Linked DNA regions of Sus scrofa. The protein of the gene in region 1 interacts with the protein of each later gene in a pairwise test. Links are inferred from orthologs where the notes say so. Each region holds a gene or a part of one and is shown in the gene's direction. Other genes may lie near its edges. The genes, in order: PNKP and ZNF639.

Region 1 (4,297 bases):
TGTCCTCATGGATGCTAGTCAGATTTGCGCTGAGCCACGACGGGGACTCCTGAAGCCCATTTTAAAGATGGAAACAATGAGAGGCTGAGAGGAATAGGAGGTGGTGGGGTGAAGCCTTCACTCTCTGCCCTCTGGTTTCCCGGATGCATCTTACCATGACTTATCCTTGCAAAAGCTGTGTCGTCTCCCTGTGACTCAGTTCCCCACCCTACAGGTCGATGGAAACCAGCCTGTGAGCAAGGGGGATCAGAGGTGTAACCGAGCTGCGCTTTCTCTTTTCCGGGTGACGCCAGGTAGCCAGTTTTGATCTCGATGGGACCCTCATCACCACACGATCTGGGAAGGTCTTTCCCACGGGCCCCAGCGACTGGAGGTGATCGGCGGCAGGAGGAGGGGGTGAGTGCGGCGCGCTCCGGACCCCGGGTCACCTTGCGCTTCCTCGCCCGCCCTAGGATCTTGTACCTGGAGATTCCGCGGAAGCTCCGGGAACTGGACGCGGAGGGTTACAAGGTGTGTGCGTGTGTGGTGGCGGGGACGCTAGACAGGCCTGGGCCTCATGAGGGCACCGGGTGACGCCCATCTGTCCCCAGCTGGTGATCTTCACCAACCAGATGGGCATTGGACGCGGGAAGCTGCCAGCGGAGGAGTTCAAGGCCAAGGTGGAGGCTGTGGTGGAGAAGCTGGGGGTTCCCTTTCAGGTATGGCTGCAAGGGAAGCCGAAGGGCTATGGCGGGGCGGGGGCGGGAGGGGGGGGACCACACACAGACGCCGAGATGGGACAGAGAGGAGGGAACAGAGACCCAGGGAGAAGGCATTACACGGAGAGCCAGCTGGGAGGGCAGAGACCCTGGGTGAATGGTGGGGTAGGGGTGCGGGTTTATGCTGATGGCAACCCATCATGATCCGGGGCACTGGCCTTCTCCTTGGATTGTAAGCGTCGGGGTGGTAGCATCCTTAGGACCCACGTGTCCTTGGGTGTCCTTGGGTGCTAGAGGAGGAGCCAGGGATGGTGTCTCCGCCCCGCCCCGCCCACAGGTGCTGGTGGCCACCCATGCGGGCCTGTACCGGAAGCCGGTGATCGGCATGTGGGACCACCTGCGGGAACAGGTGAGCTTCGGGCTCCCAGTGACTCTCCTTTCCCTCCGCCTCCCCACTCGGTTTCTGGCCCATGACCTTCCTCTCCTGCCGGGCATGGTCTTGTCAGTTTCTTTGCTATCATGTCCTAGTGTTGGTACCTGAGGCCGGTGCTCTTAAACCCTGGAAGCCAGAGTGGTCGAGAGGGAAATCGCTCGTGCATTCATTCATTCGTGTGCGTGTGTGTGTGTGTGTGTGTGTGTGTTCCGAAGCTCAACAGCTTCTTGACCGAAGATATTAGGGAAGACGACAGATCTGCCAGCTCCCGGATCAGGGAGGGTACAGATTATAGAGACCTTGAGAGATGCACAGGACAGCAGAGCGAGGATAAGGCGGGGTGTCGTTGCGGCTGTGGAGGCCGTGAACACCTCTCCACGTGCCACTGAGGAAAGAGCTAAAGCTGCCGAGGGCGGGAGCCACGTAGGGGAAGGAGGGGCCAGGCAGGAGTAGAAAGCACAAGGGGCCTGAGGTGGGACCGAGCCCACTTCACTCATGGGCAGTAAGGAGGCCCTGTGGCTGCACCTGAGCGGGTGAGGAGGCGAGCAGGGGGTCCCATGAGCCCCACAGGTGGCCACCCCACTGGAGGGATGGGACTAGGTAGGAGCCGGCGCCCTCTGGCGGCCATGCGGGGAACAGACGGGCCAAAATGGAAGCTGGGAAACCAGGAAGGAGGGAGGGAATAGTTCAGAGAGATGCTGGTGAAGGGGGTGAGGAGTGGCAGCAAGGCTGTGCCAATAGCACTTGCTGATGGATTAGACGCAGGGCACCAGAGCTTAGAGACCAGGCCTAGCGAGGGGCCCTGGGCAAGCCGAGCATCACTTTGGGAGCCGTTAGTGTTCTGCGGGGTGGGGGTGGGGACGGGAGTGGGTTCCTTACCACCTGTCGTCTGTCCCTCCCCAGGGCAATGAGGGTGTTCCCATCTCCATAGGAGACAGCGTATTTGTGGGCGGTAAGGACCTAGGGGCTGAGGGGGGTGGGTTCGGTCCCCCGTCCCGTGAGGCTGCTGGTGGAGGTGGGGGTGTGTCCTCTGTGTGCTCCAGATGCAGCCGGACGCCCAGCCAACTGGGCCCCGGGGCGGAAGAAGAAGGACTTCTCGTGTGCAGACCGCCTGGTGAGGCCGCCCCACCCTGCCCCGCGCCCCGCGCCGGCCCGCCCCCGTCTGACCTTCCCTCTTGCCCCCAGTTTGCCCTCAACCTGGGGCTGCCTTTCGCCACGCCGGAGGAGTTCTTTCTGAAGTGGCCGGTGGCCCGCTTTGAGCTGCCAGCCTTTGACCCGGTGAGGCTTCGGGCTGGGCGCTGGAGTGGAGGCGGAGGGGAGGGGCAGGGGTCCCGTCTCACCCATCGTGTCCGCCCCTCCCAGAGGACCGTCTCCCGCTCTGGGCCTCTCTGCCTCCCCGAGTCCAGCTCCCTCTTAAGCCCGGACCCTGAGGTGGTCGTCGCCGTGGGATTTCCTGGGGGTGAGACTCCCCGACCCCGGACCTAGAAGCCCCTGCCCCTGCCCCGCGCCCCCGCCCCAGGCAGGCTCCACTAACGCTGCACCCTTCACAGCCGGCAAGTCCACCTTCCTCCGGGAGCATCTCGTGTCTGCCGGCTACGTCCACGTGAACAGGGTAGGGCCCTGCCGGGAGCCCCGTCCCATCCCTGGTCTCTGCCCCCCCCCACCTCTCGCCTTCTTTTTCAGGTCCCCCACAGCCCAAGTCCCTAACCCTGTATCTGTGGCTCTCTTTCTCTCTGGGTCCCTGTCCCCTGGTCTCTTCCTGGGTCCCCAGGACACCTTGGGCTCCTGGCAGCGCTGCGTGACCACCTGCGAGGCAGCTCTGAAGCAACGGAAACGGGTCGTGATCGATAACACGAACCCGGACCTCCAGAGCCGGGCCAGGTACCGGGTCTCCGGAGCCGGGGGACGGGGGGGGGGGGGGGGCTCTGCAGAGTGGGCCGGGGCCCCTCACCAGCCCGCCCCTAACAGGTACATCAAGTGTGCCCGAGACGCAGGCGTCCCCTGCCGCTGCTTCCTCTTCAGCGCCAGCCTGGAGCAGGCGCGTCACAACAACCGGGTGAGCCGGCGGCGGCCCCGCGGCCTGACCCGCCCCCGCCCTGGCCCCGCCGCGGCCTGACCCATCCCCCTCTGTCCCCGCAGTTCCGGGAGATGACGGACCCCTCCCACGTCCCCGTGTCCGACATCGTCATCTACGGCTACAGGCAGGTGCCTCGGGCGGCGGGGGGCGGGGACCCGGGGACCGGGTAGGAACCACCTCCACCGTCGCCCTCTGCCGCCAGGAAGCAGTTCGAAGCACCCACGCTGGCCGAAGGCTTCGCGGCCGTCCTGGAGATCCCGTTCCGGCTGCACGTGGCGCCGCAGCTTGAGCGGCTGTACCGCCAGTTCTCAGAGGGCTGAGCCACCCCTGCCCGCTCCCAATGCCCAATAAACGCTCTTTTCTTCATGCGTGACCAGCACTTTGCTGGGAAGAAAGGGGGGCCCCCAGGAGTGCTGAGCCTGCTGGCGGGGCTTCAGAAACGTACCCTCGCAGGCTCTGCGGGTGCTCTGGCTGGGCGGCCCAGCGGACAGGCCCCAGGGGGGGTTCTCCTGGAGCTGCAGAGCCCACCCAGGCGGGCGAGGCCAAACGCGGGACCCCAAGAGGAGAGGCGGAGAAGCCAGACGCTCTGCACCTTGGACCTGAGCCCCGGGGCTGTGGCCTGGGCCTGCAGTGGCGAGGGGGCCCCTGCGGGCAAGACCAGCAGCAAGAGGCAGGAAGCTGCGGGGCGCCGCCTTGCGTCTGCGCCCAGCTATGCGAGGCCCGGAGGTCGAGTGGGGTTCCGGGAGCCGGCCCTGCTGCCGCGAAGTCAGCCCTGGAAGACCCGGCGCCCAACAAGCAGCACCCAGACCCGAAGCCCGTCCCCACCTGGCTCAGGTGACATGATCTCAGAGAGAATCTCCTCTGCGAAGCTGTTAGGTTCTGGGTGTGGCCGCCCACGGACAGGAGGGTATCTGTCTGGTCAGTGAGCTGGTGGCCACAAGACTTTTAAAAGACTTTAATAGGGAAACATACGGGGGGGGGGGGGGGGACCGTCCTTGGAGACATCTCAGGACGCTGTCCTCCATCTCGCTGGGCAGTTGTGGTCCCCAGGGTCCCCTGCTCAGAAGCACTGACCTGGGGGCAGGGTAT
Region 2 (4,245 bases), on another chromosome or scaffold:
AAAAAAAAAAAAACCACTAGGAGGTACCACCTTACACCAGCCAGAATGGCCATCATCAAAAAGTCTACAAACAATAAGTGCTGGAGAGGGTGTGGAGAAAAAGGAACCCTATTACACTGTTGGTGGGAATGTAAATTGGTGCAACCACTGCGGGAAACATTATGGAGATTCCTCAGAAAAGTCAAAATAGAACTCCCATTTGATCCAGCAATCCCACTCCTGGGCATCTATCCAGAGAAAACCATGACTGGAAAAGACACATGTACTCCAGTGTTCATTGCAGCACTCTTTGCAATAGCCAAGACATGGAAACAACCTAAATGTCCATCGACAGAGGAGTGGATCAAGAAGATGTGGTACATGTACACAATGGAATATTACTCAGCCATTAAAAGGAACAAAGTAATAGCATTTTTAGCAACCTGGATGGACCTTGAAATTATCATGCTGAGTGAAGTCAGCCATACAATGAGACACCAACATCAAATGCTTTCACTGACATGTGGAATCTGAAAAAAGGACAGGATGAACTTCTTTGCAGAACAGATACTGACTCACAGACTTTGAAAAACTTCTGGTCTCCAGAGGAGACAGTTGGGGGGGGTGGATGCGCTAGGGTTGTGGGATGGAAATCCTATAAGATTGGGTTCTGATGACCATTGTACAGCTATAAATGTAATAAATGCATTGAGTAATTTAAAAAAATAAGGAAATCAAGTTGAAGTATGGACTTTAGTTAAGAACCACTTACCAGTATTGGTCTTTAATTGTAACTATTATTTTTTCTTTTTACGGTTATACCTGTAACGTATGGAAGTTCCCAGGCTAGGGGTTGAGTTGGAGCTAGAGCTGGGACTGACAGCAACAACAGATCTGAGCCTCATCTATAACCTGTGCTTCGACTTGCAGCAATGCCAGATCCTTAACCCACTGAGCAAGGCAAGGGATTGAACCCACATCCTCACAGACACTATGTTGGGTTCTTAACCCACTGAGCCATAATTAGGGGATCTCCTAATTATAACAAATATTAATGTAAAATGTTTTTTGTTTTGTTTTATATATATATATATATGTATATATATATATATTTTTTTGTCTTTTTAGGGCCACACCCACGGCATGTGGAAGTTCCCAGGCTAGAGGTCTAATCAGAGCTGCAGCTGCCGGCCTACACCACAGCCACAGCAACACCAGATCCGAGCCGCATCTGCAACCCCCACCACAACTCAGGGCAACGCTTGATCCTTAACCCCCTCAGCAAGTCCAGGGATCAAACCCGCAACCTCATGGTTCCTAGTCGGATTCGTTAACCACTGAGCCACGATGGGAACTCCTAAGGTAAAATGTTGATAGAGAGAAACTGTAGAATATAGGAGAATGCTTTGTCCTATTTTGCTTTTTCTATAAATCTGAAACTTCTAAAAAATAAAATCTATTTTCAAAAGACATCATGTTGAAACCCAGTTTTCTCTACTGACTGGCATTTCAGTTTGTCCTTGCTAATTTTAAATTTTGGAGGCTGGACTGAGAGAACAGAGACTTATTCAAATTCAGTAATTTAAAAATAAAATTCCCATGTAACTTTAAGAAGTGTATTCTAGTCCAAATGTAGCAGGGAAGCATTAGTTTGTTATTTGGACAGATTTTCTTTGTATCTGTGGTATACAGATAACAAAGCTTTTCATACCTAAATCTAAGTCCTTAGTTGTGTTGGAATTCTAAGTTTAAAACATTTGGTGGTTTGTTTTTATAGTAATGTTTAATGCTTTGATATAAATATTTTTCCAAATCCGTTGTAACAGATGATGATTCTGATACAGAGACATCAAATGACTTGCCAAAATTTACAGATGGAATCAAGGCCAGAAACAGAAATCAAAACTACCTGGTTCCCAGTCCTGTACTTAGAATTCTAGACCACACTGCCTTTTCTACAGGTAAGGGAAACTAATTAATAGCATTTGCACATTTTGTATAGATTAATGAAGAAATAACACATAAAATAAATTTCTTTCTGCCAATTACTTATTTAATAGGTCTTATTTAGTAATAATAGGCTTTTTTGTTTTTCAGAAAAATCTGCTGATATTGAAATTTGTGATGAAGAGTGTGACTCCCCTGAGTCAGTCAACCAGCAGACTCAAGAGGAAAGCGCTATAGAAGTTCACACTGCTGAAGATGTTCCAATTGCTGCAGAAGTGCATGCAATTTCTGAAGATTATGATATAGAGGCAGAAAACAATTCCTCTGAGAGTCTCCAAGACCAAACTGATGAAGAGCCACCAGCTAAACTTTGCAAAATTCTTGATAAGAGCCAAGCTTTGAATGTGACTGCCCAGCAGAAATGGCCTTTACTGAGAGCTAATAGCAGTGGCCTTTATAAATGTGAACTTTGTGAGTTCAACAGCAAATACTTTTCTGATTTGAAGCAGCATATGATCTTGAAACATAAACGAACTGATTCAAATGTGTGTCGAGTATGCAAAGAAAGTTTCTCTACCAACATGCTTCTGATTGAACATGCCAAACTGCATGAAGAGGATCCCTACATTTGTAAATACTGTGATTATAAGACAGTTATTTTCGAGAACCTTAGCCAGCACATTGCTGACACCCATTTTAGTGATCATCTTTATTGGTGTGAGCAATGTGATGTACAGTTCTCCTCAAGCAGTGAACTCTACTTGCATTTCCAGGAGCACAGCTGTGATGAACAGTACTTGTGTCAGTTCTGTGAACATGAAACAAATGATCCAGAAGACTTGCACAGCCATGTGGTAAATGAGCATGCATGTAAGTTAATAGAGTTAAGTGATAAGTATAACAATGGAGAACACGGACAGTACAGCCTCTTAAGCAAAATTACCTTTGACAAATGTAAAAACTTCTTTGTATGTCAAGTATGTGGTTTTCGGAGTAGACTTCATACAAACGTTAACAGGCATGTTGCTATTGAACATACTAAAATTTTTCCTCATGTTTGCGATGACTGTGGGAAAGGCTTTTCAAGTATGCTAGAATATTGCAAGCATTTAAATTCACATTTATCAGAAGGCATTTATTTATGTCAGTACTGTGAATATTCAACAGGACAGATTGAAGATCTTAAAATTCATCTAGATTTCAAACATTCAGCTGATTTACCTCATAAATGTAGTGACTGCTTGATGAGGTTTGGAAATGAAAGGGAATTAATAAGTCACCTTCCAGTCCATGAGACTTCTTGATTGTTCTCTTTAACTTCCGTAATGTTGATGTAATATAATAAATTTGACTTTTTTGAAGATGTTAAAATGGATGATTTTAAACAATTTATGAGAATTGTCTTTAACAAGTTTTTTAATTCTCCAATTTTTTTGGCATTGCTAGCTTTTTCAATATGTAATTTATCCTAAATGTGGTATTTTTGATGCATTGTAGTTTGTAGTTTTTACCACTTTTGGTGACTGTCATCTTGTTTCTTGCATGTGCTCTGATTTCATAAATTGATAAGAAACAGATGTACTGAAGAAACTAGACTACGGTTTTCCTTCTGTAAACATAGGTGCTATAAACTTTTTCTTCTTTAAACTCAAAACAACCTCAGTTTTTCATGTGTGAAGTACTGCACTACCAGAACTAAAATGCAACACTGTACACAATTAAGTCCACTGACACTCCCATTAGTAAGAACCAGACCCTCCTTTGGCATTCCCCATCAGGTTATTATCCCCAAGGCAATCAGCGTGCTCTACCTCTCTGTGATTTTTTTTCAGTGACACTAGGAGGCCAGTGTTAGGGTAAGAAGGAAAGATTTGGTTTTGCTGGCGCTCTTTTTTATTTCCCCTTTATTTTAGCCCTTATCTTTGTGTCAGTTTTAGATGGGGGTGGGGAGGAACTGGAAAGGAATTAGACAATAAGGTAGCATTTCATAACTCATTTATAAATGAAATAGATTATAATCACATTTCATTTTCAGTTATACAACTGCAAAGTAATCCCTAAACTTCAGATATAAAGTCATTTCTTTTCTTTTTTTTGCTTTTTAGGGCCACACCCGCAGCATAGGAAAGCTCCCAGGCTAGGGGTCAAATCAGAGCTACAGCTGCCAGCCTACACCACAGCTGCAGCAACATAGGATCCAAGCTGCATCTACAACCTATACCATAGCTCACGGCAACACCAGATCTCCAACCCACTGAGCGAGGCCAGGGATCAAACCCTCATCCTCATGGGTCCTAGTTGGGTTCTTTAACCGCTGAG

The links.
Region 2: the proteins of PNKP (region 1) and ZNF639 interact in binary tests that used the Homo sapiens proteins (3 or more experiments, as listed by UniProt). The two-hybrid records come from large-scale screens. The link is inferred for Sus scrofa from reciprocal best matches to the Homo sapiens genes PNKP and ZNF639.

What each region holds. Positions count from the first base shown.
Region 1 is NC_010448.4:54,873,603-54,877,899, reverse strand, and holds the end of PNKP (bifunctional polynucleotide phosphatase/kinase), read left to right. Parts: intron 1-293; coding exon 294-373; intron 374-452; coding exon 453-510; intron 511-590; coding exon 591-698; intron 699-1,035; coding exon 1,036-1,107; intron 1,108-2,034; coding exon 2,035-2,409; intron 2,410-2,493; coding exon 2,494-2,590; intron 2,591-2,681; coding exon 2,682-2,743; intron 2,744-2,902; coding exon 2,903-3,012; intron 3,013-3,099; coding exon 3,100-3,187; intron 3,188-3,270; coding exon 3,271-3,332; intron 3,333-3,410; coding exon 3,411-3,528; 3' UTR 3,529-3,574; downstream 3,575-4,297. UniProt on the Homo sapiens protein: Plays a key role in the repair of DNA damage, functioning as part of both the non-homologous end-joining (NHEJ) and base excision repair (BER) pathways.
Region 2 is NC_010455.5:117,380,467-117,384,711, forward strand, and holds the end of ZNF639 (zinc finger protein 639), read left to right. Parts: intron 1-1,805; coding exon 1,806-1,940; intron 1,941-2,076; coding exon 2,077-3,230; 3' UTR 3,231-3,512; downstream 3,513-4,245. UniProt on the Homo sapiens protein: Binds DNA and may function as a transcriptional repressor.